Linked DNA regions of Nothobranchius furzeri. The protein of the gene in region 1 purifies or fractionates together with the protein of each later gene. This does not show direct contact. Links are inferred from orthologs where the notes say so. Each region holds a gene or a part of one and is shown on either strand. Other genes may lie near its edges.

What was found.
Region 2: the proteins of usp49 (region 1) and cetn3 purify together in Homo sapiens (affinity purification with mass spectrometry; 4 studies listed by BioGRID and IntAct, with this or other methods). This does not show direct contact. The link is inferred for Nothobranchius furzeri from reciprocal best matches to the Homo sapiens genes USP49 and CETN3.

What each region holds. Positions count from the first base shown.
Region 1 is NC_091743.1:46,652,367-46,668,112, forward strand, and holds the start of usp49 (ubiquitin carboxyl-terminal hydrolase 49), read left to right. Parts: upstream 1-5,352; 5' UTR 5,353-5,503; intron 5,504-6,551; 5' UTR 6,552-6,662; intron 6,663-6,749; 5' UTR 6,750-6,814; coding exon 6,815-8,203; intron 8,204-14,567; coding exon 14,568-14,775; intron 14,776-15,746. Other genes in the region: bysl (bystin), read right to left, coding at 1-90; med20 (mediator of RNA polymerase II transcription subunit 20), read left to right, coding at 451-464, 877-1,022, 2,218-2,471, 2,555-2,776. UniProt on the Homo sapiens protein: Deubiquitinase that plays a role in several cellular processes including transcriptional regulation, cell cycle progression or innate immunity.
Region 2 is NC_091746.1:37,899,353-37,915,144, forward strand, and holds cetn3 (centrin-3), read left to right. Parts: upstream 1-6,137; 5' UTR 6,138-6,281; coding exon 6,282-6,298; intron 6,299-7,149; coding exon 7,150-7,288; intron 7,289-7,653; coding exon 7,654-7,768; intron 7,769-7,851; coding exon 7,852-8,043; intron 8,044-8,412; coding exon 8,413-8,456; 3' UTR 8,457-8,954; downstream 8,955-15,792. UniProt on the Homo sapiens protein: Plays a fundamental role in microtubule-organizing center structure and function. As a component of the TREX-2 complex, involved in the export of mRNAs to the cytoplasm through the nuclear pores.

The DNA.
Region 1 (15,746 bases):
CTGGAGGATCTGGTCGGCCAGTGGCACCGCTCCTCCTCCGCCACTCTTCTCTCCTCCACCGCCACCTTTAGCTCTTTTCACTTTCGGCATCTTTCAAGAGTGACTCAAGCTGCGACGACGCTGTCCGTGTTTTGTTTTACCATTAGAGACACAAACAACGCGGAGAAAGAATTCTGTAAACAGTCTGTATTCTACACGTGCAGATTACCGTACGGCGGAAGTGACGATATACGTAACGTCTGTGCACTGAAAAACATATATATAACATACCATTTTATATGATGTTGATTTTATATGTTTGTATGTAACATACATTTATGCAATATGATTATAAAGTTTCTTGAGTTTGTTTTTTAATTTTCTGAAACAAGGTCGTTTACGTGCACCGGAAGTGTAAATGTTAATCCGGAAGTAATTGCTTCACGAGTGTTTTTTGCAGGCGAGAAATCAATGGGTGTTACTTGGTAAGCAGATTTACTTATGTTGTAGTTAAATGCTAACTGTAATAATATTTTTGTAATATATTTTATCACGCTGTGCATATGATTTCGTTTGGCATGTGTAGCTAACTCGGTGAATGTAGCCTTTATTTGCTTCCAAACCGTTTTACACTGAATAGAATAGTGTTTATTGTCGTTGTACGGTGTACAGCGAAATTAGAGTGCCACTCTCTTTAGTGCAAAATGGAAAACTATACAAAAAATAATACAGAAATAATATAAATGTAAAATGAACAGTAATATATATATTAGTTGGGTTCAGTAAGCAGAATTTTAGCATATTGAGTAAACAGAAATAGGACATTCAAATGTTATTGCACATGATCAATTTTGAACAGGTTGCTTCACGGTGTTGTGTTGTTCTTGTGCTGTGCAGTGTTTGCCAGGTGCCCGTGGCGGAGGGGAAGAGTGTCCAACAGACAGTGGACATTCTGCATAAGAAGCTGGAGCAGCTTGGAGCTGTGAAGCAGGGCAACTTCTGTGTAGACTGTGAAACATATCAATCAACAGTAAACGCTGGCGGTAATTTTCAGCTATTAACCATATAAATATTATCATTCCTGTTGTTTAGGTGCTTTAGATGGATAGTCTTCTGCATTGCTATTAATACAACTTGCTGCAGGGGAATTTGTCATATTTCTTTGATTAAATTCTGCTTTTTGAAAATGTTCTAATAATTATGTCAAATATTTGACTTAAACTCAATTGTCCAGGATATGTGTGCCTTGTGACAAATATATTGTCAAGCTATGTAATTTTCATTTTTACTGATCTTATTTCTCTGTAAGGTTAACAAAAACAGTCATCCATTGGGTAAAAATAGCCAGATTAAAATACAGTTGGTGTGTTTTAGAAAGGTTTTCTGTAAATCTTCATTACTATGTTATGCAAGGTTAAATGAGCCACGTTTCCACTGTATCTTTCCCCAGAAGTCAGGAACATTTAAAAAGCCCCATCCACTGCAAGAATCCGCTTAAATTTGTTTAAATGGGACAGCAGTAGCTCAGGAGGTAGAGCGGGTTGTCCAGAAGGTTGCAGGTTCGATCCCGGCTCAGACCAAAGAATTCTGCTGTTGTGTCCTTGGGCAAGACACTTAACCTGCCTTGCCTGCTGGTGGTTGTCAGAGGGGCCGATGGCACCAGTGCTCAGCAGCCTCGCCTTTGTCAGTGCGCCTCAGGGCATCTGTAGTGACATCATAGCTCATTCCCACCAGCGTGTGAATGTGTGTGTGTGAGTGACTGTGTTGTGAAGTGCTTTGGGGGGATGTAGAACCCTGTGAAGGTGCTATACAAACACAGGCCATTTACATTAAGCTCCTTGAAAAATAGTTTTTATTTTTATGTTTTATAAACATCCGCAACCCGGGGTCTATAAACGTTTGATTTGGCATTTATCTTTCTAAGTTACTACTAGTCTTTTTTTTCCAGGTTTCCACCAATGAGTCCATTAGCAGAGCAGTAAATCATGATCTAATTTAGCTCAAGTGTCCTCCAGAAAAAAAGGTGTCTGCTCTCGCATCCCTCATAAGCAACATTTATATAAACAGGACATGGTATGATTCTACTACTTACTTGTGTAATTTTAAACTTAATAAGCATGCTGCTCTAATCTGTGTCCAAAAATAAAAAAATCATGCAAAGTCATTATGCAAAAATTGCATTGTTACATTTTGCTGTTCTTCATGCAATTTCTCACTTTAAGTCTGGGTTTGTTACAGGTCAGCCCTCCAAGCTCCTTTATGTAATGCACAACTCTGAATTTCCCCTGAGCTGCTTGGCTCTGTTTGAAGGAGGACCCTGTTTGGTAGCGGACACAAACTTTGACGTCCTCATGGTGAAGCTGAAGACCCATTTCCAGAATGCCAAGGGACACAAGGTGGAGTGTCGCGGTTCGAGATATCGCTACTGTGACTTCTTGATTAAAGTTGGCACGGTCACAATGAGTTCCAGTGTTCGAGGGATATCAGTGGAGGTGACAGTTTGGTATTATCAGTTAGACCAGAGGCCCATTGTTCTCTTTTTTGACAGGATTAACCCTTGATGTGTTTTCCTCAGGTGGAGTACTGTCCCTGTGTGGTTCCAGGGGACTGCTGGAACCTCATGAAGGAGTTCATGCTGTCTTTTCTTGGCAACAATGTTCCTGAGCTTCCCACTGTATTTGCTGCCAAGCCTGAGGGTCTTTTTGCACCAGCAGACTCTGTCGACACCATGACTCAGTACCTGGAGTTGTTCAACAAGCTACGGAAGTTACAAATCACAGGAAGCAATGTGCACTAATAACATTTTTTAATGATTGTATTGATGTGTGTTAAATGTGGTCCTATGGAAACCGTATGATTTGTATAGTTCTATTTTTGTAACTTCAGTTTTGTATTTGTTTACCCTGATACAGTTAAAAGGAATACAGCTACAATCTATAGATGCAAATGCTCAACACAGACAAAAATAAAGACAAAAATCTACCTATTTCTGCAAGAAGTAAAAATTCCTTACACTCGGTGGGGAAATGTTGGTGTCACAGCAGCAATCATTCACATCAGGAGCAAAGAAGAACAAAATCCTGTAACATATGCAAGAAATTCTTAAAACATTCAATCGAATAAAAAAAATCTGTGCAGATAGACGAAGTTTATAATGAGGAGTGATGGCATGAAAGGAGAAATGTGTAAATAGGGACCTGGGATTACTCTCCGTGCACCAATGGATGCAGCATTCTGCCGCTGTAGGAGTTCCCCAGCTTCATGCATGGGGTGGAAGACATTGTGTAAAAGTGATGCTAATTTAGCCAGTCCTGTATCCCACCTCCTGCACTAGATCAAGGAGAAATCCTAGGGCAGATGTAGTGTCAATAAGCTTATCTAGTCTCTGTCTTTCAGCAGTAGCTATGCTGCTGACCTAACAAACCACACCATCAAAGATGGCTGATGCCACCATTTAGTCAAGGTCTGTAGGAGCACCCCCTGCACTCCAATGGACCTCAGTGGCATCAGCGGGTAGTGTGCTCTGGCCCTTACTGAAGAATATCTGTGTTATGGCCTCAGTTTGCTGTTCAGGTGAACACCCAGGTCATTATAAGAGTCCACTACCTCAATGTCTGTTCCCTGGATGTTCACCGGTCCCTAACCCAAAGACCTGAAGGTTTGATTAGAACACAAAACAAGAACTCCCACATGCACTTCAACAAATCACTTAATTCACATTCAAGAGTGAGATGCTTCTTATCAATAACATTATTTAGGAATGTAAAGAAAAGTCATCTAATGAGACTTAATTCAAAATAAAGACCAAAGTTAAAAATGTACATGAAATACATGTGGGGAGAAGATGTAAAAACTAAGTTGAAATGTTTCCATATTTGAAGTTAGAACAGTTTAACCCTTCACATGTCTGACGCATTAAATTAAAATACACACACGTTATAAAATGAACAGTTTACTGGACTATATAACTAAATGACTTAGTGATTACATTATTTATGTAATTAAATATAACTGTATAATTATTATTACCTGTCGCCTGTAATACACAGGTCTTCCACTAGAGGAAAACAGACGTGTTCACTGCAGGTTTCTGATGATAGTATCTCTTTGAGTAGTTCTGATGATAGTATCTCTTTGAGTAGTTATGTTCTTGCTGTGCAGAAAAGTAACCGCTTGCTGCTCTAGTGTCTCGGGCTCTTTGTCTGACGCCTCTCCTGCTGCGTCGTGATCTTCTACTGCTTTTGCGTAGCTTCTGTGTCGGGTTTCCACCATTATCACCAAATCCTCTCGTCTAGTATATTGTTCAAGTTCATCAACTCTTTGCTCTTAGGCCGAAATCTTCTTATCTTCAGTTAGCAGTATTTTAAGCTCCTTCACCTCCTCCATCAGTCTCATTAATCGATCCTGCTGTGATGTTACTTTTGACCTCCTCCAGGTCTTCTGTGGCCATTTCTTTACCTCGTCCACCCGCTCTTCCTCCTGGCATCTCTTCCACTCATCTGCAACCGTCGTCCTCTGGTCCCGTGCTCATCGCGACACGATGAATGTTGTTGGGCCTGCTTGGCTCAGCAGCACCCCTCGGCGCTGCTGGGGGCCGGGCCGATGGAACCGCGCCGGGCTCAGGGTAGTACAAATCTTATTAAAGAGATAAATCTCTCATAAACGTAGTTATTTTAAAATTAAATATTTAGTTTTTCATTGTTCTATATTTTACAAATATTAAAGATGTGTAACAATTTTTCACTTATAATACTCCTATGCATTTATTGTCTATGTGGCAAAATATCTAGTTTTCTTTTTAAACAATTACTAGTATTTACAATAATTTAATACTTTGCAATATTTAAGAAATTGTTTTGGCAAATACTGAAATGCTTTTCTCACAATAACTAAATGTCTTTTTTTTTACTTTTTTTTTTTTTTTACAAATATACAGACGACCTTTACCATATACAACATGACCTAGCTACTATAGATAATTGTTTTGTTTTGTTAGATGCAAATGCAAATGTAGCATATCATGAGTTCTATAAACAGCCCAACATATAAATTCCATTCATTAGGCTTTTCATAAACATTAGAATGTTTGTATCATTTGTTTATTTATGTGTCACACTTGTTACAAAACTTTGTTTTACCGCCTCTTCAGCCCCTTGAAGCCAGCACTCCTCCCCCCTGTTCCCCGGTATGCAGCACGGCCCCAGCCTCGGTTATTGTTCCATGTGGCCTCGGTGGGTGGGTGGGTGGGCGGACGGACGGACGGTCCATCCTGCCGCCTGTTGTTCCGCAGTTGGACCAATGAGAGCCCGGCTTCCGATCAGCCCCGGTCCAATGAGAGCAGTGGGGTCTGAGCTCGGATAGAGTTGGGTTGTTCAATCTGTGCGGAGGACAACAAGCCGCAGCTCTCAGAGTACCGGATGGATGGATAGGTGGATCAGTGTCGGCGATGTTAACAACACCGATCTCTTTCTGACGTCGGACTTTCTAACAAGCCTCGTTTCAGCCGCGTAACCGGCTCGGTGAGGTGAATGTCACCGGGGTAGTTTTTAAAAGGTTAACGGCGCAGTTTGCTCGCGAGCTAAGCCATTAGTTAGCGAACAACAACAACCATTAGATTAACTTCGATTGTCTTCGGCAGGAGCGTTAGCAGCGCGGCTAATGCAAGTTATATTTAAGCTAACAGTGTGTACTTCGAGCAAATAACATAATCTGTGATTAACCAAGCGTGTTTATTCGCGCCGCTTCGCTCGTGGCTAACCCACGGAGCCGAGCCGCTGTAGCTAGCGGTTAGCCGGGCTGCCTCCAACCAACAAAGTTATTGGAGGTTCCTGGAGAGAGTGGCTCCGTGTTCTTTGTTCTGGCTGAACATGGTGATGGTGGAGTAGCTTAGCATGGCGTTAAGGAGTCAGCCTGTCCGAGCCACGCTGCAGCAGTTAACACAAACACAGCAGAAAGTGGTTTAAATGAAAAATGTTAGCAGCTCGATGCGATTATAGAAGACCGTTAACATGCATGGCGGCGGCAGCTCAACATAACAGGGGTTTAAACTAACAAGGAACCAGTTGCTGCGACCCGAGGCAGCGATGGTGCCTGCAGCATCTGATTTGTCCATAAACTCTAGTTTCCAAATAAACAAATCCGCCAAGCTTTGTAACGATGTTGCTTTAGTGAATCACATTTTAAATTAAGTTTCATAAAGTTCAGAATATTAACGCTGAAAGACAGAAAAATAAGCAAATTTCTGATTCAAACTTGTTGTCAGGGTTAGAATTATTTTCTTTAGTGTTTCAGCAAAGCTCACGATCAGTCCAGCAATTGATCTAAAGCTACACCAGTTTTGTTTTAAATAACATCTTATTTATTTTCCTTTGTATATATGCATATTTTATTATTATTATTTTAACTTTGAGACAGACCTAGATCTAGGGATGAAAAATGTAGTTTCCTGGTGATTAATGAATCCTTTTTTGCACTGGTGTTAACCCTATTTGTTGTCTCACCTTGTAACTAATTAATTGACTTAGACGTTCATCGCTGACACGTTTTATGCAACTGTAATCCTTGTTTTTCAGACCCGTCCTGATGGTGCTGGTGGTGACCGTGGGCAGAGCTGAAGTTGCTGCTGAGCTCCGAAGATGATGTGATCTTTTGTCCCAAACCTGATCAAGCTAAATAGTTTTATTGTTAGTTTTTATTCAGTTATTCTCTACAGCATAACGTGTTTAATCTTCATTGTGGTTTTGTGAACAGTCATTTATTATTTCTTTCAGAATGAGTTGCTGTTTGGCTGAAGGACGTGCGTCCTTTCACTGAGGCCACATGTGTGTCTGGAGAGATGGACCGCTGTAAACACGTGGGACGCCTTCGTCTAGGCGAGGACCATTCTATTCTCAATCCTCAGAAATGGCACTGTGTGGAGTGCAGCACTACAGATTCGGTGTGGGCCTGCCTCAAGTGCTCCCATGTGGCCTGTGGACGCTTCATGGAGGAACACTCGCTCAAACACTTCCAGGAGTCCCAACACCCATTGGCTATGGAGGTGCGGGAGCTGGATGTCTTCTGCTTTGCCTGTGGAGACTATGTACTCAATGACAATGCAGAAGGAGACCTCAAACTCCTCAGAGGGGCCCTGTCTACAGTTCGGAGCCCAGGTAGACGCTCGCTGCGCTCTTCCACCGGGGGGGAAGGCGGACCGCAGCCAGCCATGCAGCTGGCCTTTCGCCACAGGAGGAAAGTGCTCATGAGGAAGATGCTCCAGATGTGGATGAGCAAACACCAGGAGCTTCAGAGTCAGTGCAAAGAGAAACTGGAGGAAGCTAGGAGACAAAAGAAGGAGGTAAAGAGGAGACTTATGGAAGAACTTGTTAGTGTTCCTCCCAGAAAGAGTGCCAGGCTTCTAACTCAGGCGCCACGTTCAACCATCACACTCGTTCCTCGCAAATTTCGCGACCCACCTGAACGCCTACCTCCTGTTCCTCCTCCTAAGAAGCCTTCGATTCTTGCTGTGCCCCGCAAGGCTCCCCGGAATGGCAGAGCCACCAAACTGAGGAGATACTACTCCACACATGCTGTAACACGAAGGAAACTTGCTCCAGGTGTCACTGGTCTGCGTAACTTGGGGAACACATGCTACATGAACTCGATATTGCAAGTGCTGAGCCACCTGCAGAAATTCAGGGAGTGTTTTCTCACTTTGGACCTATGTGAGACAGAGGAGCTGCTAGCCAAGACCAATCACTCCCAGGGAGTGAAGGCCATGCCTGGGGGGGTTGTCAGTGGGAACACACCACTGTCAGATTTACCTCTGGGACGTATGGGGAAGGCGGGCTGTTGGAATTTGCCTGTGGCTAATAAAGAAAGTGTCCCTCCTTCCTCCCAGGCAGCAGAACTGGTCCAGCCCAAGGAGCCTCGCTGCTCCACTCGCCAGCAAATGTCTCTGTGCCATGAGTTGCATACACTTTTCAGGGTCATGTGGTCAGGCCGGTGGTCTCTGGTCTCTCCCTTTGCCATGCTGCACTCCGTGTGGAACCTCATTCCAGCTTTCCGTGGTTACGACCAGCAAGATGCCCAGGAGTTCCTGTGTGAGCTACTGGACAAGGTGCAGCAAGAGCTGGACACGGACGGGTCAAAACGGCGGATTGTCATTCCCATCACAAAGAGGAAGCTCTCGAAGCAAGTGCTGAAGGTTCTCAACACCATCTTTCACGGGCAGCTCCTCAGCCAGGTTAGTGGATCAGTTCTGTAATGCTGAGTCATGAAAGCGTGCTTGAAAAGTTGTAGAAATTTGGAAAATAAAGAAAGAAAACTTATCATGATGCGCTTCACAAGAACAAAAATTAAGATAAAAAAAAAATTAAATCTACGAATGAGATCAATGAAAAAATTTTGATTTAAAAATGAAAGGGAAAGAGAAAACGAACAAGAAAGAGGGAATCCCAGGAAAGGCGGAGTTGGTAGAAAGAGCTGAATAAGGGGAGGGAAGTGATGAAGGTCCCACCAAAGCCAGTATGAACAAGTGAGTTTTCAGCTGCTTTTTGAAGGAGACCACTGAGTCCACTGATCCCAGGCTCCACAGTTTCAGAGTCTGGGGGCCACAGCAGCAAATGATCTGTCACCCTTGGTCTTTAGCCTGGTGCTGCACAACCAGTAGGCTTTGGTCACTGGACCTCAGGGACCTGCTGGGGGTGTAGGGACTAAGAAGATCACCAATTTAAGATGGTGCTTGTCTATTGAAGGCCCTAAAGCAAGCAGTAGTCTTAAGTGTGAGGAGATGAAGGTTGTGGATAACGATCTCAAGTTCAGAGTGAGACAGAATGGGCCTCAGCAATGTTCCTGAGATGGAAGAAGGAAGAGCCAACAAGAGAACTGACATGAGAATCCAGGGTGAGTGCTGGGTCAAAGGTCACACCAATATTCCTGACAGAAGGTTTGGTGTGGGAAGCAAGCTGACCAAGAGAGTCTCTGACTTTGGGAACCAGCTTGTCTGGGGCACAGATGAGGATCTCAGTCTTATCTTCATTCAGCTGTAGAAAGCTCCCAGCCATCCAGGCTTTGATAGAGTCTAAGCAGGAGTGTAACAGCTGCAGCTTAGACATCTCATGGGGCTTAAAGGAGATGTACAGTTGGATGTCATCTGCATAAAGATGGTAGGAGATTCCCTTAAAGGAGCTCAGGATCTGTTGAAGAGTAAGCAGCTAGAGGAGGAAGAGTAGGGGCCCTTCAGACACCATGGGTGAGGGAGGTCGTGGAGGACCAAAACTTAAAGATGGCTATATAGAAGGAACGTTCAGAAAGATAAGGGGAGAACCACTCCAGTGCAGGGTCCTCATTTATCAAGCTTGCTTACGCACAAAGCAGGGTCGGAAAACTGCGTAAGCAACTTTCCACGCAAACTTTGGGATTTATAAAAGAAAACGGAGTGGAAAAATGTGCACAACTTTAAGTTGACTAAGGACCTGGCTTACGCACATTTTGGACATGGAGAGCACCTGCAGTGCTGCTGCTGAGAAGGATAAAATTATGAATTCCAGCAGCATTATCACTTGTACCGCTTCGTGCGCACACAGAACAAATGAAAAACACCTGAGCACATTTTTAGGTAGTTTGTGATTTATAAAGCGGAGATTGTGTGAAGCTGTGCATGCTCCATGTTTTATAGGTCACAAACTAACATGGCGTAAGTAAATTTTTTTTTGCTGAGCTTAATTACGGTTTTAGTAAGGATTCTATGCAATGTTTTATAAATGAGACCCCTGGTCCTGATAGGCCTTCCCAGTCTCTTAGCTTCTCCAGTAGCAGGTGATGGTCAACAGTGTCAAAGGCTGCAGTCAAGTTCAGCAGAACCAGAACAGAACAGTCCCCTGCATCACTGTGAGTCAGAAGGTCATTAGAGACCCTAAGAAGAGCGGTTTCAGTAGAATGAGCTCTACGAAAACTTGACTGGAAGCTATCATAGATGTTATGTTCATCAAGAGCAGCTGTGAGTTGTTAAGCCACAACCTTTTCCAAGATCTTGGAGATGAACGGAAGTTTAGAGATGTATCTGAAGCTGCTATGGAGAAAGGCGTCAAGACTCGTTTTTTTTAAGAAGCGGGTGAATTACAGCATTTTTAAAGAAAGCAGGGACCTGACCAGAATTCAGAGAAGCATTAATTATAGAGAGCACGCTGGAACCGATGGACTGAAAAGCACTTTTAAACAAAGATGAGGGTAAGATGTTGAGGGGGCATGCAGAGGTCTTCATAGAGTTAACTAGTTTGGTTAACTCAGGCAAAGAAACAGGAGCAAAGCTATCTAGGATGATGGGCCTGGTTGGAGTCGGGAGAGGCAGCAATAAGGCTGAAGGAGAGATGCTAGATCTAACCTTATTGACTTTGTCCACAAAGAAAGACAGAAAGTTCTCACAGTCTGTAACAGAGTGGATGGAGGCTGTAGGAGAGGCAGGAGAGACGATTCTGCTGATGGTATTAAACAGCACCTTGGGGTTCCCTTTGCTCTGGGACACCAGGTTGGAGAAATAGGAAACCCTCGCGTCTCTGACTGCAGAGTTAAAGGATGTCAGAAGGTCATTTAGATGGAGCACATGGAGACAGGTTTCCTTCCACAAGCTCTCAATTTTTCTGCTTCGATGCTTCAGGCTGCGAATGCTGTCATTAAATCAGGGTGTAGGGTTCACTGCAGGAACTGATCTGGTTCTGACAGGACAGATGTTGTTCAGAATAGAGCTTGTTAAACTGAGAGGTTAAAAAATCTGGGTCATAATCAGAAGAACAGGGGGAATTAAAATCAGCTGAAAATTTGCTAGTTGTGCTCTCGATATGAAAACGAGAAGTTACAGAAAATGCAATGGTGATTTGATATAAACGTCCTTGGGACAAACACTGTCATTATTTAAACCCATGGTAAAAACAAGGCCCAGAATGTGCCCCCTGGTGTGTGTGGGTCCGGAAGCATGCTGAGCAAAGCTGAAGGAGTCCATGAGGCTGGAGAAGTGGTCTGAGGCATCATCAGTGTGGATAGGGATGGGTACCTTTGACATTTGAATCGATCCGGTACTAATACCCGGTACCTACGAATCGATACCGGTACTTAACGGTACCAATTTTCGATACTTTTGAGTGTTTATTATTTTAATTCTCTTTTATAATTACATTTATATTTTTCTCAATATATAACAATATTTGATAAATATCACGATAAATAACATTCAACTGTTTGTATTTTAACATCGTCCTTGTAGTTTTATAAGCTGATAATTTAACTGAAGCAAACATCTTTACTGTGAACTAAATTTACTGTGCATCTTCTTTCCTTTTGCCGTCTTTTTTCATTTGATTTTTCCTACTGGGAAGTTAGAATTTCCGAGGAGAAAGCGAACGCACCATTAGCTGATAACAACGGTCGCAATGGAAGCTAACATATCAAGCTAACGTTATCTTTAACAGTTTATTTAACTGCTGGAGCAGATTAAAATGATGATGCCTCACACTTAGATCGTTGTCGCTGGTTTCATCTTCACCCAATCACCCGTTGCATTTAGTAAAGTGAAGCCAAACTTTAGAGCGCGTTCATGTTTATCTAGTCAGAAATTTGGAGTTCCGAGGAGAAAGCGAACGCACCATTAGCGAAATAGAAGCTAACATATCAAGGTAACGTTATCTTAAACATTTTATTTACCTACCGGAGCAGATTAAGATGAGGATGTCTCACTTAGATCTTTGTCGCTGGTTTCATCATCACCCAGTTACCCATCACATTTAGTGAAGTGGACCCAAGCATTAGCGTGCATTCTTTCTACCCATGCTGCTCTGTTTACAACTCGCTCGCAGGGGCCGACGACATAACGCTCTTGCGCATGCGCAGCTGTCTTGGCAAGTTCTCGTTATGAAGGACGGGTACCGAAACGAGGCACCTTTTGAAATGACGTGAATCGGTGCTCGGTCGGTACTATGGAATTCGGTCGGTACCTTAAAAAGTACCGAATTCGGTACCCATCCCTAAGTGTGGATGTTAAAATCACCAACAATCACCAGTATGAACAGCTTCACAGTGGAGGATTAAAAGTCACTAAACTCCTGAAGGAAAGAATGATAAACCACAGGACAGTAAAATATGTCTTTACCATCAACATATATACTAGACAATTCATGTCCATAGGCTCAAATTAAAATGTTTTTGTTCCCAATTGGGAGGTTCCCACCACCGCCGTTTTGACCGTGTCACAGGTCCCGTCACGCTCAGACAATCTAAAAATAGGAAACAGGGTGAAACAGTGTAGCTACTAGCTAACTTAGCTAAGCTAAGAAGGAGCTTCTTGGGCCGGGATGTCCGCCGTTGTTGATTGTCCCTTCTCCAGGAGCCAAAGATCAGCGGGACATTAGCCACATACTAACTCAAAGTTAATGGAGTTTTTCTGGTCGTTTTCATTAAGAAAAATGCGCTTGAGCGACTCAAAAGTGAAGCAGCGTCAACAAAAAGAGCCGCAGTGTTTTTGTGGTCTCCCTCAGAGATCCACCATTGACCAGCATGACTACAGCCTCGCTTCGGAGCCGGCCTGGCTGCCCCGGGAAACGGGAACAGCCAGCCTCCTGCTATTCTCAGGCAGGAGACAGGAGAAGCTGGACAACCGCTCAAGGTTCTTATGCAGCCCCACTAACATGTTTGACCAAGCAGGTAAATGACACAGCATTTCCCCCATTCAACCAATGAAATGAAGTATAGAAATATAAATGTACTTACTGATTAAAAAAAAGCAGAAACTGCTTGAATGGTCTTTTAGCGCAGTCAATAACCACACATCTTTCCTTTTTGTCCAACTAGTTCCATGATTTACATTCAAACACAAACACACAGAAAAAAACTAAAGTTCAGAGAGTCGAAATGGCTGAACATCTATTAACGTGAGGCCGAGGCCTGGGCTGAGGCCTTTCTCCAGAGCTAGTGCTAAACTCACGTGGATGCTCATTAATTGTTCAAATTTTTAAGATTAAATAACACTTAGCATAGCATAGTTTATTTATATAGCACATTTAAAACGCAGCATGGGAGCTGCCCAAAGTGCTGCACAGGCTAAAACAAAACACAACCATTTGAGCAGAAGAGTTACAAAAAATGTCACCATCTCAGAGTTATTAATGTAAACTAGATATATTAAACCTAAAATGGGTTTTTGAACCAGGCTGTAAATATGTTTATTTCTGCTGTAAAATTGGCATTTTTACCATGGGAGTCGATGAGGATTTGTTCACTTCTGCTGCCAGACCCTTGCGGATGAAAGTGGAACTGCAATTTTTGTCACTTCCTAGTTGGCATCAAATTTGTTGCAGAATTGTGGCGGCTTGGTCCTTGCGCCCAACTTAAATCAGCTGCAGTTCAAAGGAAGCAAATCGACCAGAGAAAGATCTACATGCAAGATGGTCTCTACAAACAATAGCTATGCCGCCACCTTTACTAGAACCCCGGGGCTGGCTAAGGAATGAATAACCACTCGGGCAGAGTTCAGTCAGACCAGGATAATGAGATGTTTGCTGCTAAACTTCAGTTTGAAACAGAAAATTCAAGATTTTAGAGAGGATTAGATCATTGAGCAGGAATGACTTATTGGAGTGGGTATTTAATAAAGCCATGCTAAGTGAGGTGGAGGAATCAGAAACTACAGAAACAGGTGGACTTAGTGGACATAAATGAGCAGGATTAGATCCACACAAGGCTGAAGTTAGCTTCCAATTCCAGCTTCCGATTCAGGAAATGGCTAAAGGGCAATTAGACTCAATTTTTCTCTACTCTGACCATCTTTAATTTGCTCTAGCTCAAAAACTACAACACCTACACTCTTCAAACCCGTACTAAATTATTCTAGACTAATAGCAAATTATGTAAAACATAGTTTGTGATTTGTGAAACCTTTTTCTGACGTTGTTTTGAAAATGGCAGTAAAGTCTGGTCAGGACTAATAAATTCTTCTCCAAATTTGGGTTGTTCCAAGAGTTCTGTTACAGGTGGGATATAGTTTAAATAAAGGAAAGAAAGAAAACGATTTTTATATAGCGCCTCTCAAGATTAAAACAGTGAGGCGCTTCACATAAACAAAAAACGATCAAAGTACAAATAAGATAAAAAGAAACGATCAAAAATATGTTCAAAATGAGAAAAATATTTAAATTGTGATAAAAAAATAATAATGTAAGGAAGGGAGAGAGGGAAAATGAATAGGAAAGCAGGAAATCAGTGGATCACTGTAACGGTAGAATGAGTAGAAAGAGCAGATACATTCTTTTACAGTCAAGAGGCGTGTTTAACAGTTTAACTGGCTGCTAATATTGTTAGATTAACTCAAAGCTGTTTTTACTTTTTTACGATCGGTTCTGTTCCAGTCACACAAAGTTCTGGCTGCATTATAATCACCCTTCTCTCTTGCCCTAGTTCCTGTGTTGTGCTGTGATGTTTCTCCACCATGCAGTTAGACTTAAAAATAAAATAAGTAGATTATTCACTTGTTTTCCATGTGATTTCTCTCCTCTTCTGGTCTTTACCAAACAGCATGAACCTGATCTTTTTTCCCCCTCCTACTTATTGTCTTCATGTCTTAGGTGACGTGTTTGTCCTGTAAGCACAAGTCCAACACAGTAGAGCCATTCTGGGATTTATCTTTGGAGTTTCCAGTGCGGTACCACAGTACAAACAAAGGCTCTGGCTCTACAGCTTACCAGCGTAGCTGCACCCTGGTGGAGATGCTCTCCAAGTTTACAGAGATGGAGGCTCTTGAAGGCAACATCTACGCCTGCAACCACTGCAACAGTCAGTACAATTACGTGTATTATTCTAATAAACACAACCTTTTTAGGCGGTTCTATTATTTACCAGGTTTAATGGTTGATAACAGAATGGATAGGTCGATCTAATAAAGGCTGCTTTTACTTTTCAGCAAACATGGAAACCAGGCTTACAAAGCACTGGTGGAAACCCTGTAAACATAACTTGACGGCATGTGATTGTGCTACAATGTCCCAAAAACACCTCAACTACAGCCTTGCGTTTATGAATCCTGTTAATTTTTATTATTAGACTTCCTGGTTGCTATTTTAAAGGGGTTCTAGAACAACTTTTTATTTATTTATTTTTTTTACAATAGGCACGGATTTCTTGAGCCTCCATAAAGTATACAAAACTTATGGCTGTTCAGTTATGACAAAAATGATAACAATTACTTCATTTGATATTGAGATCTCAGTTATTTAATACAGTCTTTATGTAATAACACAAACTTTTTGAACTTCAAATGTAGCTTTTAAAGAGGCCATATAATGGAAAATCCTCTTTTTGGAGCTTTTTACCACGTGATATTGTTATTTCTAGGAACGTGTCGATCATGTTTTTTGCTCTTAATCTGATTCTGAGTCATTTGATTGTAAGAATCGGCCTATACCCAGTCCCGATCTGAGACATTAGAAATGCATTAGAAAAAAAAGAAAAGTTTTTTTCTATCATTAATGTGTTTCTTTCTGTATTAATGTGCTTTCTTTAGGTTATCTGCCATAAACATCATTCATTTAGGAGGTACATTAATAAGAAATGTGTTAATATTAATATATGTATAAATAAATAGTCATTTACCATTTAAATGAATAAGAAACGTCAATATTAAGAATAAATGTAAAAGTAGCCTTGTTGCTCATATTTTACATCCTTTCCTCAGTGTTTAGCCTATTTTTTGGGATAGGGATGGCATGGCACATCGTCAGCAGCATAACCTTTTTCTACAAGACACC
Region 2 (15,792 bases), on another chromosome or scaffold:
GCTCCAGGAAAGGATGATAAAGTGGTCAAACAGAAAACAGTGTCTTGTCTGTCTCAACATTTTAATGCTGTGATTTGTCAAACTGTGAAACATTTTATCTTGAGTAAATGTAGAAACCATTCAGGGAAAATTAATGATACTTCAGTAGCTTGATGAGGTAAAATAGTTTTTATCACTCAATATTTTTGTGCTAAAATCCCTTTTAAAAATTCCTTTTCATGTAATTTTTTAAGAAATTTTCTAATTTGACACCACATGAGTAATGACCAGAATAGAAATGTGTTGTGGATGTCGAGGCCAAAAAAAATATCTAATTATAACTCATTACTAAAACAAATATTAGAAAGCATGAATTAATTTAAACACAGAAATGTGCAAAAGTTTTTCATCTGAACACAAATTAAAAAGCACACTTTTAATGAGACAGGTGAATCTATTCAATATAATAATAATAATCATCTAGATAATATGTGATAATGTATGTTATTTAAAGGTGTGGAACACTGAAAAACATCTTTCAATGATTATTTCTGATTATAATCAGTTCCTCTGAGTTTTTCATGCAGGCATTAGCTTGTGATAGAAAATACACTCAACAAAATATAAACACAACACCTTTGTTTCTGCTCCGATTTTTCATGAGATGGACTTAAAGATCTAAAATTCATTCCAGATACACAATATTACCATTTCTCTCAAACATTGTTCACAAATCAGTCTAAATGTGCGATAGTGAGCACTTCTGCTTTGCTGAGATAATCCATCCCACCTCGCAGGTGTGCCACATCAATATGCTGATCCGACATCATGAGTAGTGCACAGGTGTACCTTATACTGCCCACAATAAAAGGCCACCCTGGAATGTGCAGTTTTGTCTCACAGCAAAATGCCACAGATGCCACAAGCATTGAGGGAGCGTGCAATTGGCATGCTGACAGCAGGAATATCAACCAAATCTGTTGCTCGTGCAATGAATGTTCATTTCTCCACCATAACCTGTCTCCAAAGGCGTTTCAGAGAATATGGCAGTACATCCAACCGGCCTCACAACCGCAGACGACGTGTAACCACACCAGCCCAGGACCTCCACATTCAGCAGGTTCACCTCCAAGATCGTCTGAGACCAGCCACTCAGACAGCTGCTGAAACAAAACTGTCAGAAACCGTCTCAGGGAAGCTCAACTGCATGCTCGTCGTCCTCATCGGGGTCTTGACCTGACTCCAGCTCAATTCTCCATCAACTGCAAGATGCTATCCTATCAATATGGGCCAACATTTCTAAAGAATGCTTTCAGCACCTTATTGAATCAATGCCACATAGAATTAAGGCACTTCTGATGGTGAAAGGGGGTTAAACACTGTATGGTGTTCCTTATAATCCTTTAGGTGAGTGTATATGCAGATGACATTCAGCTTAACTGCTCCTTTAAAGATTCTGAGTTCTACAGTATAAACTGTCTGAATTACTAGAATGTCTTTCAGCTATCACCAGCTAACTAGAAGAAAACTTCCTCCTGTTAAACTCTGAAAAGACTGAATGTCTGGTCATTGCCCCTAAGAGCATGGTTCCCCTGATTAGCCTAAAATTTGGTCATTTATCCTCTGCCGTCAAGACAAACTTGAGAAATTTGGGTGTTGTTTTTGAGCAATCAATGTCTCTTGAAGGCCACTCAAAATCATTGACTACGTTTACATGCAGCCAATATCCGGGTTATGATCGGGTTAAGGTCGGTATTCAGGTTTCTGAGTTGATCAGAATAACCCATTTACAAGCATAAATAGAAAGAGTTACCCCTGACTTGCATAACCCGATTTAAATGCGGACGTTGGGGTAGCGTCAGGACGTATGGACTACGTCAAGACGCAATATGCTGTTCCCTTCTTGTATATTTCGCTGTCTCTGTACTTTCGGCCATCAACAAAAGACATAATGTTCATACTTTTCACCAGACCGATGAAGACAGAGGTTTCCTCGTCACTTCAAAAGTGTGGTGCTGTGCCGCGACTCGCTATGTTGCTCCCAACTTGTTGTTTACTTCCGGTGTTCTGGCACATACAAGACGTCTCGCTATTCAAAAGACCAAGATTCTTTGCGAACAGAGCATGCGCAGAACACACGCTTTGATGGGGATGTCCCGATATGCGTTTACACGACCAAACATTTGGGTTAGAAAAGGGTTACCCCAGGTGTAGTAACCGGGTTTTTAAAAACCCGGTTATGAGCATTTCCGGGTTTTTGGCGGTGTTTACATGGCCGTGCGGAACCGGGTTATTGTGAATATTCAGGTTTTAAAAGGGTTACTGGCTGCATGTAAACACACTGATTGGTCCGAAACAGTTTTTATCACTTAAGAAATATCTCCAAACTGCGAAGGTTGGTGTCAAAACATGAACTTGAAATGGTCATCCATGCCTTTATCTCCTCCCATCTAGATTACTGTAACACACTTTTCACATGATTTTTGACCGCCTTCAGTTGGTCCAGAACTCTGCAGCAAGGCTCCTAACTGGAGCAAACAGAAGAGCACACATCTCTCCTAATGACTCTGCACTGGTTAGCTATTAACTTTAGAGTTCAGTTTAAAATACTGATTCTAACTTTCAATGCTCTGTATCAGGGCAATTCAATTCAGGACCTCAAGGGCCGGTATCCAGCACGTTTTGGTTTTAACCCTGCTTTAACACACCTGATTTCAATAAGTGGGTGATTAACAGGCTTCTGCAGGTCCTGATGGGCTGCTGCACAGGTTATTCACCCACTGTGTTGGACCAGAGAAACCACTAAAATGGGCTGGATACCAACCGTCAAGGCCCTGAATTGTAAAGCCCTGCTCTTCCTGGTCAAGCTCCAACCCGAGACCCCAGGTCCACAAACCAAAACCTTCTAGAAGATCCAAAGACCAGATATAAAAGTCGAGGTGATTGGGCCTTCCAAACTGTTGCACCCCGCCTTTGGAAAGATCTTCCTTTATCCTTATGTAGCATTGACAGTCTGGTCACCTTTAAAAATCTGCTGAAGACCCTTTTATATAAAGCTGCTTTCACAGAAATCTTTTGTTTTCTTATTATTAACAAAAAATTGTAATAATCTTTGTTTAATGAAATTTTATAATTTTATGACTTTAATTTTTTCTGATTTTAATCTATTTCTATTTTGAGATCATAATGTTTTATGTTGTTTTGATCTATGTGAAGCCCTTTGTGATTCAATGTCTGTGATGGGTGCTATATAAATAAAATTTACTTACTACTTGTTGGTTTAGTGTCCAGGAAACAGCAGAGAATGCCTCGACTAGTAGAAGCTAACCGTTAGCATTAATGACTCTACTACAAAGCAGAACTCCTTCAGACTTGTATTATTTGTGGAGATAAAACATCAACGTTGCAGAGTGAACGGAGTCAGTGGCAGAGTCACATAGCTGTTATCCAATCAGAGATGAGATGTCCAAATATGACACATATGACTCCAAATCCCATCGTCTGAAGATCAGCTGTGATGTGGCTCACTTCTAGTTCCTGAACCTGGCGCACCAGAGTTTTTTTTGTTTTTTTTTTTTTACCCAGAGTATGACTTACAAGGCTTTCATTCCTACTGGAGAGAACTGCAAATGTATTGATTGGACGAATGTTTCACTCCTTTAAAATACAGGGTGGCTTTCTCTCTGGTAATAAAAATATATTTGCATTTTAACAAATTCATGCTAAAAATAAAATTAGATGAGAGTTTAAAAAAAACAGGAGCTAAATGTTTTTTTAAAGTGAAACACTATTTGCTCACAATGTTTTTAGTCTTGACTGAACCCTGCACATGTATTAAAGTATGATGAGACCCTCTGGTGTTGCTTCTGCACCACAAACCACCAATCAAGCCCCTCCACCTACAGCCTCATTTCCCAGAGTAAACGCAGCACCACAATGGGCTGCAGCGGTTAGTTGGAAGACAACAGACACAGCCCAGCTCGCTGGTCCAGGCTCACTGTTCCTGTGATAGCGTGCTCACACTGGCTTTTGAGCCTCAGCTCTGTTTATAGAGGGGGCAACCTGTTTACAAGATCCTGAGTTTACACTCAAGAAATGAGCTTTAACGCGTCAAAGACGGAAATGGCTATTTAAATTGGCTTACCTCTTGCAAAAGGCAGATTACAAAAATATCAGGAGTTGCAGGTTTGGAGCCCAGATCTGGACGTCTGTTTTGTTTCAGGTTTACAAACGGAAACAGTTTAATTGTTTTATTGTCAGCAACTCTCGGAGGAAAAACCAGACAAGCTACAGTTTTGAGTCATGTTGCAATTCCCTCAAACACAGAGCGTAAAGGTTGAACTTTTAAGGCAAGGCCAATAAGACTGGCATAACTATGAACCATTTAGAACGAGATCAATACAGTGGGGCAAAAAAGGTTTTCCCACTTAAAAAGATGAGGAAGGTCTGTAATTGATATCATTAGAGATGCATCAATACCACTTTTTTTCCAAACCGATACGATACCGATACTTGAATCTGATTACTTGCCGATACATATTACCGATACTTCTACCACACAAAAAATACAATGAACTGGAATACAGGTTTAATTTAATTTTCTGCTTTCAACAGGAAAAGACTGTGATGTAGATTATATATATATATATATATATATATATATATATATATATATATATATATATATATATATATATATAGATAGATAGATAGATAGATATAGATATGTATATGTATATATATACATACATACATTAATAAAAATGATCACAAAACTAAAATTTTAGGTGAACAGAAATGACAAGTTACAGTGAAGCCACTTTCAGGCAGCTGCATTGCTATCGGTTCCTTGTATTGGTTAACTTTTATCGATACCGATACCAGTATCGCATCGGTGCATTCCTAGTTACAGTTTGCTTCAACTATGAGACAGAATGTAAAAAATCCTGGAAGTCACACTGTAAAATTTTCTAAGAAATTATTTGTATCATGGTGCAGAAGATACATATTTAGTGCCTACATATGTGCAATAATTCTGGTCCTCACATACCTGTTACTTCTTCTTTAAGAAGCTTATCTATCCTCCACTTGCTGACTGAATTAGTGGCAACTGGTATCTGTATAAAAGACACCTGTCTACACCTTCAGTCAGTCAGACTCCACCATGGCCAAGACCAGAGAGTTGACAAACGACATCAGTGTCAGGATTGTACACCTGCACAAGATTGGCTTGAGTAAATCCACAACAGGTAAGCAACTTGGTGGGAAGAGATCAACTGTTGCAGCAATTATTAGAAACTGGAATAAATACAAAATCACTGACAGTATTCCTCGACCTGTGGCTCTGTGTAAGATCTCACCTTGTGGGGTACAAATGATCTTGAGAATGGTGAGGAAACAGTCCAGAAGTACATATGGGGAATTAGTGAATGACCTGAAGAGAGCTGGCACCACAGTGACAAAGGTTACTACTGGTAACATACTACATTGTTATAGATTAAAATCCTGTGGCACTCAAAAAGTCCTGGCGATGTTAGAACATCCACAACTTAGTTTAGAGAAAGAAGATTTTTCCTATGAAAGAGCACTCTTTGGTGGGCAAAAACTAAAAGCAGCACTTTTTGGCAACTCTGAACTCTGGCTGCTTAGAATTTCTGAAAGTTAAGATTTAACTGGGCTTGGAATAATAGTTTTATAAAGCAGCTTGAACGTATGAGACTTTAACAGCTGGTGGAGAGGGTGTCCCCCCACCCCAAAATTTTTTTTAAAACAAAATCAAGATTTGAGGTTCATAAAGACCTTGTGAGTGTTACATTAGCACGTGAAGTCATTAGAATAATTCTCTATGTCCAAATTCACCAGATATTGAAAATTTTAGGAGAATTTAGGTACCTTACATAATATACAGGCCCTTTCTTCTTCTTTATGCAATGGTGATGTGTCAGAATATTTTTGATTCATCATTGGTTTGTATGTGTATATATATATATATATATATATATATACCGGGCATATGTATATCCATCCATATGTATAATATAGACTGTGGTATCAGTTATGAACACGAGGTGGCAATAGTGCTCTAATTGACTGCATAGAGCAATGACAACGACCGGGTAAGCGGCCTTGAAGAAGTAACATTAACCAACCAGATCTCGCCTAACTGCTGCCTGGCAACCAGCGACCAATAGGATTCCTGGTGTGTGAGCGCGGATAAACGGATTTGTTGTGTTTGCTGGAAGCTGTAGCCACATAGCATTCAGAATAACATTTGGTTTAAAGGTTTTATAAATTCACCTGGAATGAGTTTATCTCTAAGGTAAGGAGCTAACCTTTTGTCGCGAGATGTGGCTGTTACAGTTCAGTTGAAACCGGTGGTACGTCGAGATTTGTTCCCCAGTTGAAAAACGTACGCCTTCGCTTGTCTCGTCAAGATGATTTCGTCCTGCCAAATTGTACAATTATAGGCGTAGATGTTATTTTTTTTATCAGGATAAGACATTTATGAGGGAACGAGTCCCTTGTGTATAACTGTAAATTGAGTAATATTATCTAATTGTATCGTAATCTGAATTAGATTAGAATTAGTGATATTCACTAAACATGATGAATTTCACAGCTACAGCAATGACCAAATGATTAAGATATATATTTTTAGGGATTTTCTTGAAATAATATTGCTAAACACAACAGTTTACAAAGAAGCTGGCGGAGAAACGGTGGGGGACCCGAATGTACTAGTTTTTTGTTTTGTTTTGTTTTTTTCCATCTGTCAATAAACAATTTCCCCCAGACTTTTGGAGGTCCTCCCAATGTTTTTGGTAAATGTGGGTTGTTTTTGTTGTTGTTGTTGTTGTTCAGCAGAGGCTTTGGAGAATGAGGTTTACCTTATTGTTGACACATGACCTTAAACCTTAACCAAGTTTGACCTACAAAGCTTTAGATGTTCTTCTGGGTTATTTTGCTTTTGATTTTTTTTAGAACAAGGCATAAGGTAGATTTTTTTAAGATCCTTTAGCCTACCCTGTGTCATCAGAGAGACCCCAATAAACATTACAGAAAATGGTTTAGTTCTCATTGGATAACAAAGTGTATGGGTTAATGCATTAATAAGTCATGGCTGTGATACAGGTAGTGTCTGAGGTGAGACTGCATGTGTGTTTGTTTCAGCAGAACTGATCTTGCAGCTGAGACAACCAAGCGCAAGAAGAGGAGGGAGCTCACCGAGGACCAAAAGCATGAAATTAAAGAAGCTTTTGACTTATTTGACACGGATAAAGATAAGGAGATTGACTATCACGAGCTGAAGGTAAGAAAATGGGCCATAGTGGTGGTTGTTATGGTTACCTTATGGTTTTTGTGCCTGAAATAATGCCGTATATAAGTTATGCTTTTATAACCTCATCATTCCTATTTTTCTTTAACTGCTGTGAATGTGGAGCACCAGGTATTTATGTATTATTATGTAAGTAAAAGTAACTAAATACCATTTAATCACCTTTTGGAGAAACGCTAATGGGTTTTCCATGTCTGAAGGCACCCTGCTGAAATAAAGCTCCAGGGGAATTGGAGCTAACGTTCTACAGCAATAACATTTATTTGTTGTTTTAGTGCTAGTTACTAATTGTTCTAATCCTGAATTCAAACCAAAACAACATTTAAACATCTTGTCAGGTGGCGATGCGCGCTCTCGGTTTTGAAGTGAAGAAAGTGGATGTTCTGAAGATTCTGAAGGATTACGACAGAGAGGGAAGTGGGAAAATCACCTTTGAGGATTTCAGCGAAGTGGGTAAGGTGGTCATCGGCTCTGGTATTACCTCATAGCTTGAGGTGCTTCATTAGCTACTAAACCTTTTCCCTACCCCTCAACAGTTACGGATCGCATCTTGGAGCGAGATCCCAAAGAGGAGATCATGAAGGCTTTCAAGCTGTTTGACGATGACGAGTCAGGAAAGATCAGCCTGAGGAACCTGAGACGGGTTGCTCGAGAACTCGGGGAGAACATCAGCGACGAGGAGCTACGCAGCATGATCGACGAGTTTGACACAGACGGGGATGGAGAAAGTAAGACCGGAGTCTGAGATGAGAGCAACTCTGTCTCTCTTTTGTTGTGATTTTGTGTCTGATTAGAGCCGCAGATGCAACAATACCAACATCATCACTGCATCTTCTGGCACACACAGGCATTTTAATTATTTATATGATTGTTCCTAACATTGTTGCTTTCACTGTTAGACCAGATCCTGTCACGTCAGCAGGCATCTGCTGCCCTGGAACAAAATAGATTTACTAACGACAATGTGTAAACATGTTCAGTTAAAGTAACAAAAATCCACTGCTGCTTCGCTTTTTGTTTGTTTTCTTTCATTCTTGCGTCTAAGCTTTCCAGGTAAATCCAGTAGATCTGACCAGGTGTTTTTCCCTTCTTTTCAGTAAATCAGGAGGAGTTCCTCTCCATCATGACCAGAGACCCATGAAGAGGTTTCCCCATCTGTAAGTTGGACTCTTTGCCCATATTGGGAGGAGATATGGGCCTTGTTCTCTTGCTTCTGAGGTGGACTGGACTTTATCAGGAGCCTGGAGCTTTGTTCTGACTTGGTTTGATAAATAAAAGCACCAGATCGTGTCTGGACCAACATCTGCTCACACTGCTCAGTTCCTCTCGTAGACATGAAGTGTCAATATGATGCTGACCTGCTGGCATTTCTTTAAGAAGCGAGCTTTTATTCATGGAGTGTGTTTGTGTAGAAGACGAGTCTGAAGCTCCGTTAGGAACGTGTTAATGTGATGTAGTAAAACACAGAAGATCAGATCTGTTTCACTCGTATCCTATTTGACCTGTTGCAGTTATTAGTTAAATGTGGCATATTTATTTTTAAATTGTTTTGCCAACCCTACTCATTTGTCATTTCCCAAAGAGCCAGAGTCGTCAGACCCGGCACCATCATACTTTAATAAAGTACTTTCAAAGTTCAGCATCATGTTTGAATGGTTGTTTTGTGTTTGACATGTGCGGTGGCCACAGAAGAGGCAGGAGAGCTTCAGAGTTTCTAGTAAAACACGATAAATTTAGTGTTAAACATGAAATACACACCCCTCAGAAGGTTTGCTCCAGGCTTCAGGAAAGGATAACAGTTGTTGAACCTCAGAATCAGGATTGTGGCTTTTGTCCAGTTCACTGAACACCGGATCAGTTTGTTGCCGAGGTAATCCAGTCCACGTGTGTTTGGTTAGTATCTACATTCTTAGCGGGGATGCATGGATCCCTTTAGGACCATGTAAAACCAAAAGAAGAGGTCCGTCCATGTTCCCAGTGTTGAGAAACTTTAATGTCATGGTTCTGCTGTGGTTTAAACCATGGCCGTTGGGGTGCTCTGGGCCAGTTCACAGTCAGGAGATTCAGCTTCTCCAACTATAAGGTCATGGTTCTGAATCGGATAAAGGTGGAATGGTTCATCTGGGTTTAGAGAAGAGGAGGAGTTTGTGTATGTTGGTGTCTTCTTCACACGTGGATCATGGCCTCAGCTGCAGCAATGGCACAGTTTCTCTGGGTCGTCGGGGCAAGAAGGAGGAGCTGAAAGGAGAATGTCTCCATTTACTTGTGCATCCTCCAGCCTATACGGCCACAGGACTTACCCCTCTTTACCAAATGAAGTCATCTAAGGTGGTCTGGGCATCTGATTAGAATGCCTGCTAGTTACAGCCATCGCAGAACATCCGGGCGCTGGAAAGACATCTTGGGCCTGACCCAGGACTCTCCGGAGTGGACATGTGTTCTCTCTAGCCTGCAAACATATTTGGGAGGAGCTAGTGAGAGTTGCTGAGAAGAGGGAGGTCTGTAATTCCCTCCTGGACTATCACCTCCACGATTGACAGATGGATGGATTGATTTACAACTCTGCAATGAAATAGGACGTCATCTGACTCCTGAACCTAATCGTTTTTGCAGCATGGGGTTATTGATTCCTTCAGGTTCTTCCTAAACATTCCAGAACTGGAACATCTTCAAAGTACATCCTAACATCGCACAGGTGATGGATGGATATTAAAGTAAACACCCGCCAGTTAAACTGTAAGAGACAGAACTGCTGTCAACAAGTAGAGCTCAGTCATTACAGGGAAAACGCTCAACTAAGACGCTAACTCCTGCTAACCGGGGCTGCATGTGGAGAAAGCTAGCCTGGCAAGCCAGACTAAATAAATGTATTATTTAGTCTGGCCATGCTCCATTGACGGCTCTCGGTTGTGGGGCGGGTTCTACCGTTGTCTTTCAAATGATCTCCGCATTCCACTGACTGGACAATGAATGTGACATACTCTTGTTTCACTCTGTTGCATCATCCCACCCACCAGGCATATAGAGTGCCCTGATTGGCCCACAAAGCGGATAAAGCTCTGTGATTTGTTCACCAAGCAGATAGAGCACTGTGATTGGCCCACCATTATGGACCAATCACAGCTCTTTATGTGTTTGAAACCCCTCTAGAGAGCTGTGATTGGCTAGCCAGAGTCCTGGTAGGAGCTGCTGAGGTTCCAATGGAGCGTGCCTAGACCAAACTTTGCAAAGCAAGAATTTGGTCTAGTTCACTAGGCTAGGAGAAAGCCGGACCAGTGCGCAGAAGCTACTGCTTAAAACAAGCAGATGCTCTCTCCTGGACCTGAGAAGCTCCCTGCTGCACTCTAATGGTCCACTAGATGGAGACATTAACTCAGGACTACCGCCAAGAATCAACTGTCAGGTCCACATAATCAGTCTGGTCTTTGGGAGTCTCGAGGTGGATTATCAGACCTTGCTGGGTTGAACTGTGAGCCAGTAAAACTATCTGTAACATTTAAAATATGACACTTGTTAAAGGATAATTAAAAGCAAAAACATTTATAGGCCTACTGTGATGGTGCATCTGCATTACCAATAAGTTGAAAGTCCAGGATGAGTTGTGTTTGCCGAAGCTATCAGAAGAACAGCTGTTTTATTTTATTATAGTTCAAATAATAAAAACGGGCTTACAGTTCTAATGACATGAAAACAGACAGGGCATTATGGTTATACTGATTTATCCATCAAACTTGATTTTCGTAACTTTTATAAGTTGCTCATTATTTTCTCACACTAACACACAACACAACAGGAGACGATGAATAATTCAAAAGCATCAAGCTGACTTTCATCCATGTTCCTGGAATATTTGCAGGTGTAGATGATAAATTAGCATTTAGCAGATTGGTGTTGGAATCACGCTGAATTGGTAGCTAGGTATTCTCACTCTTCTCACATTTTCTAAGCTGACAGGTGACCAAATGTAGATGTGATCCTGACGAGTGGGATGCCTGAGAGAACATTTGTGTTTTCGACATGTTTGAAATTCCAGCAACATGACGGAGCGGCTCTGAGACTCGTGAGGAAGAACTGGAAACCAGCACAAACATTTTGGAAACTTAAAAAGTACGTATGCTGTTTGTTATGATAACTGAAAAATAAAAGTACCCTAAACACAAGTCTGATTTAGCTGGAGCAATAAACTGTTTCATGAACAACATTTGTATGTCGCAAAATTAGATGAAAACATTTGTTCAATGTCTTATTTATTGTCTCCAGTTAATCTGTGTTATTGATGGGGGTCTCCTTCTATTGTCTGACATTTCACACCAATTCTGACTCAAAGTGAATAAAGACGGGGCCAGGACTGGCTCCAGACGTCTGTGACAGCTCGGAGACAGTTTTGAAGAAGATCAAAGTTCCACCATCATGACAGCAAGACCCAAAGAATCCTCACAGATGTTTCAAGCCATTTTGGAAACTTCATCAGTCACAGTCCAGAGATAATGATCATGTTAGAAAGGTCCCATGCTGAAGTGATGGGCTTCTGTATCAGCTCCTGCTCAGACCACAAAGGCAGAGCCACAAACCCCTTTAGGAGGATCCTCGTGAGAGGCTCCCTGTCATTAGCCTCTGCAGGCCTTCCAGGCTGCTCCGGATCAAGGTCTCTGGTGGTGAGCTGCTTCACTGTCCCCGCTCCCGTCTGCTGCCCACAAGAGGACCAGGACTGTGGCTCACTAACCAGTAATAACAGCCGCCCGTCTCACAATGACAGAGTCGGGGATGCTGTGGTTTCTCGGCAGACAGCAGAACTCTCTAGAAGGGTAAACTGGAAGTAAAGCAGTGATGAGCGGCTGGGAAACTGTGTGTGTGTGTGTGTGCGTGCGTGTGTGTGCGTGTGTGTGCATGCACATTCAGGCTGAAGGTCAGCCCTAACGTTGGTTATCAGAACCTGCATCTGGTCTTCTCAGCAGGGATCGAGACTCGCCCTTGTCCTGGCACATGCTCAGCTGTTGGTCCCTGGACCGGAGCGACGCATGTTCCAGAAATAACCCAACCCAGTTCCTCCCCAGCTACAACCTCAAAGCCCCCCAACACACACACACACCCCAGTGGTTTCTACTTTACGACTCTACACAAACGCACAGCCTTTTGTATTGCTAGTATAGTGATCTTTGCCGATGAGACTCCTAAAAATACGTTGGACCGGCGGGGTTCTGCCGGTTCTGGTTAAGATGTGATGGCAACGCTTCCTTAACGCTTTGATTTCTGATGGGCCAACAGGATGAGGGCACATTTACTGAAGCCCTTTAAACTTTGGCTACTTTGTCGATGTGATGAAAATTCAGCATGTGCACTCTGGCAGAAGAAAACTCAGAGACAGAACAGAAAACAGCGGGAAAAACGAACTAGAGCTACGTTTAAAGTAATGCAACAACCGCTGACAACCAAACTTTATTCATTTAAAAGATATTGAAGTAAACGTAGCATCATATGTATTTAATAAAGAGAAAATGTTCATATAAAGGAGGCAAAAACTATTCACTAAAATGATATGAAAACAGTCCTTCAGCACACACATCTTCTAAATATTTCCTTAAAATGCCACTCTCATCCTCACCCACACTGCTCCTCCAGCTGTTGCTGAGTTCTGTAGCTTGTATGAGAATTTGATCCATCTCGTTGGGATATGAAGTATTTGTCAGGATACAACTGGAGACAGAGAGGCATCTATGAAAATGGAGCCAAAGCAAACATTTGATCAGGTGAAATTAGCTCAGAAAAACTCCAGAGCTACATTAATGAGCCTCAATCATAAACTGCCTATCAGACGAAGATGAGTAAAGAAGTCAATCTGAATTTTCAGGAATTATCCGAACTCATCGCTGGCCTATTTCTAACTTATACCAGCATATGTGTAGCAAATGTGTGTGTGTGTGAGTGTGTGTGTGTGTGTGTGTGTGTGTGTGTGTGTGTGTGTGTGTGTGTGTGTGTGTGTGTGTGTGTGTGTGTGTGTGTGTGTGTGTGTGCCGTGGGTGTAACTATCAAGTGTCTGATTGATAACTAGAGTCAGATTTCAGCTTGAGTGTTCACCTGTCAGTCATTAGGCGTAGCTATGCCAACCATGTGACAACATTTCCCCTTTGACCTGCTCTAGCATTGGTCTGGTCCATACAGAATATTTGTTTTCATTTGTTATTTAATTTGTTAGGATACAATGTTCAGCCAGATTTGTTCACAAGTCAAAAGCATAATTTTAGCATTTCAGTAAACACTTTTGAAATGTTTAAAGTCATGTCAATAATTGACAAACCACAGATTTTATTGTCCAGGTTTTTATTTAATTCCAGGGATCTGATATATATAGAACATAAAAGATTAAACTACAAATTAAATATCTCCAAAAAATAATAATGTTTTCTAAACTAGCCTACATTTTAGATTCAAAGTTAAAGATAATTTAAACTAGTCATTTTTTAGTCCTACAATATAGAATTTTAGAAACTGTCATATCTATTCATTTACTTTTCATATGCTTAGTTATTTATTATTACCCCTTTTATTGACCCAGATGAAAAATAATAGAATCACATGTAGTTACAAATAAATCACATCAGTGTGAAACATAGAAATCAATAGAGATCCAAAATCGGGTTCCATGAAGCTAAAGTGCCCCCCGGTTGTGTAGGACTTGCCTCCACATCGTGAGTGAGCAGACTCTGGTTATAAAGACACAACATGGCGGTCCCTGTGAACGAGCTTTAGTTTTCATCAACAAAAATAGGTCAAGATCTAATCTTTTAACGCAACTCAATGTTTTGTGCAGTGACGATCTTTTCACATTTAACTTGTTTTTTTTAAAACGTGTCCATGACTAAATATGCAATTTAGGATTTAGAGCTCTTCTTTAATGGTGATGGAGCTCAAAGCGTGGCATGGTGATTACATCATATCTGATTATAAATTTCCCCAGAATAATCTTTGATACGTGTGAATCAGAGACGGTCAATGTGATGGAGGACGTCTCTCAGGCCGGCAGACACAGACGCGGGGAGGAAATGCTCCGAGACATGCTGTGGACCGTGGACTATGCCTGGCAGTTGGGTGAGGTTGGATTAGTTTACACACGCTCATGGCTTTCACTGTAATTGTATCTCCTGGATTTGCCAGCTTCACCCAGCCTGCATCACAAAGCAGCAGAGCCTCTCGGAGAACCCAAAACCCGTTTTTGCATTTTCGACCTCCTTACATGTTGTCAGAGGAAAATTAAGCACCACCTCACTGTGGTGCTGAGACATTTTTAGAGGATTACAGAAGGAGTGGATGAAGAAATGATTCCAGGAATAATATTTTTAGGGTTTTTCCTTCACTCCTCACACATCTGGTTCTCTTATTGCTTCTGTCTGTGCTTGTTTGCGTTTCTGCAGCGCCTCATCTGGCCGTCCGCACTGAGAGGGGAGAAGGAAGGTCACAGGCAAACACAGGAGCTGTTCTGGAAATGATCTGGTGATGCAGCAGCCATGCTTGTGATATAGAAAAATGTTTTTAATTTCACCCCCATCTTCGCCAACCTACGTACAACTTAACTCAAGTAGCCCAGACAGTCCGAGGAGGACAGAAACACTGAGTCCTGCAGATGAAAATGATCTGTTAAAAAAGAAAGGCCAGTGTGAGAAGAATGAACTGCAGAGGTCAGCTTAGTGTTGTAGGTTTCAGCTAAAGCTGCCCAGGCGTAATTTAGAGGAATTGTCTTTTAAATAAATCCTGAAGCAGAAACTGACTCAACAGCTGTCGATCAATGTCACAGCCCTCATCACGCAGGCATGATTGATATGAATACACTGCATCAAAGTAAAATGCCTTGTTTAAAAGTGACAATGTGTAGTTTTTACCATTAATCTCTGGAAATGTCCATCGCAATGTTCATGTAAATGACTTAAAAGATGCCCAGTTGTTGAAAAATGTTGGCAGTTTCATAAAATATGACCATAAAATACATGGGAGTGGGTCATGTCTCTGGGCGATGCCATGTTTCCTTCCATGGAAGCCCGTGAGGACAAAACACATTTAATGATTTGTAACAAATGGTTACAAAACTTTCACCAATAATAAACATTTAGCTTTACACATTTACTTCTACACTCCTTGCTAGTGATGAAAGGGACTCTGATGTGTTTGTCATTTTGCTGGAGGTTGCACTCCCAGGGATTTTTTACCCTAATTGCCATCTGTTGGTAAGGTCTTATACTTGAACACAAAAATAATGCTTGCTTGCAATGTTATATGCACTGCACCCTATCGCCAGGGAAACTACACACTGTCACTTTAATAAGTAAATCTAACATTAGATTCATGTACTAGTTTTAAGAATTCTAACCAAGCAACTTTTGTTTTCACAGATTTCTTTTAACTCAAAATATGAAAATTTGGATCATATTCAAGAATATTGACCTCATTTAACACTGTGCTGTTTTGGTAGAGAAGAAATGTATTTT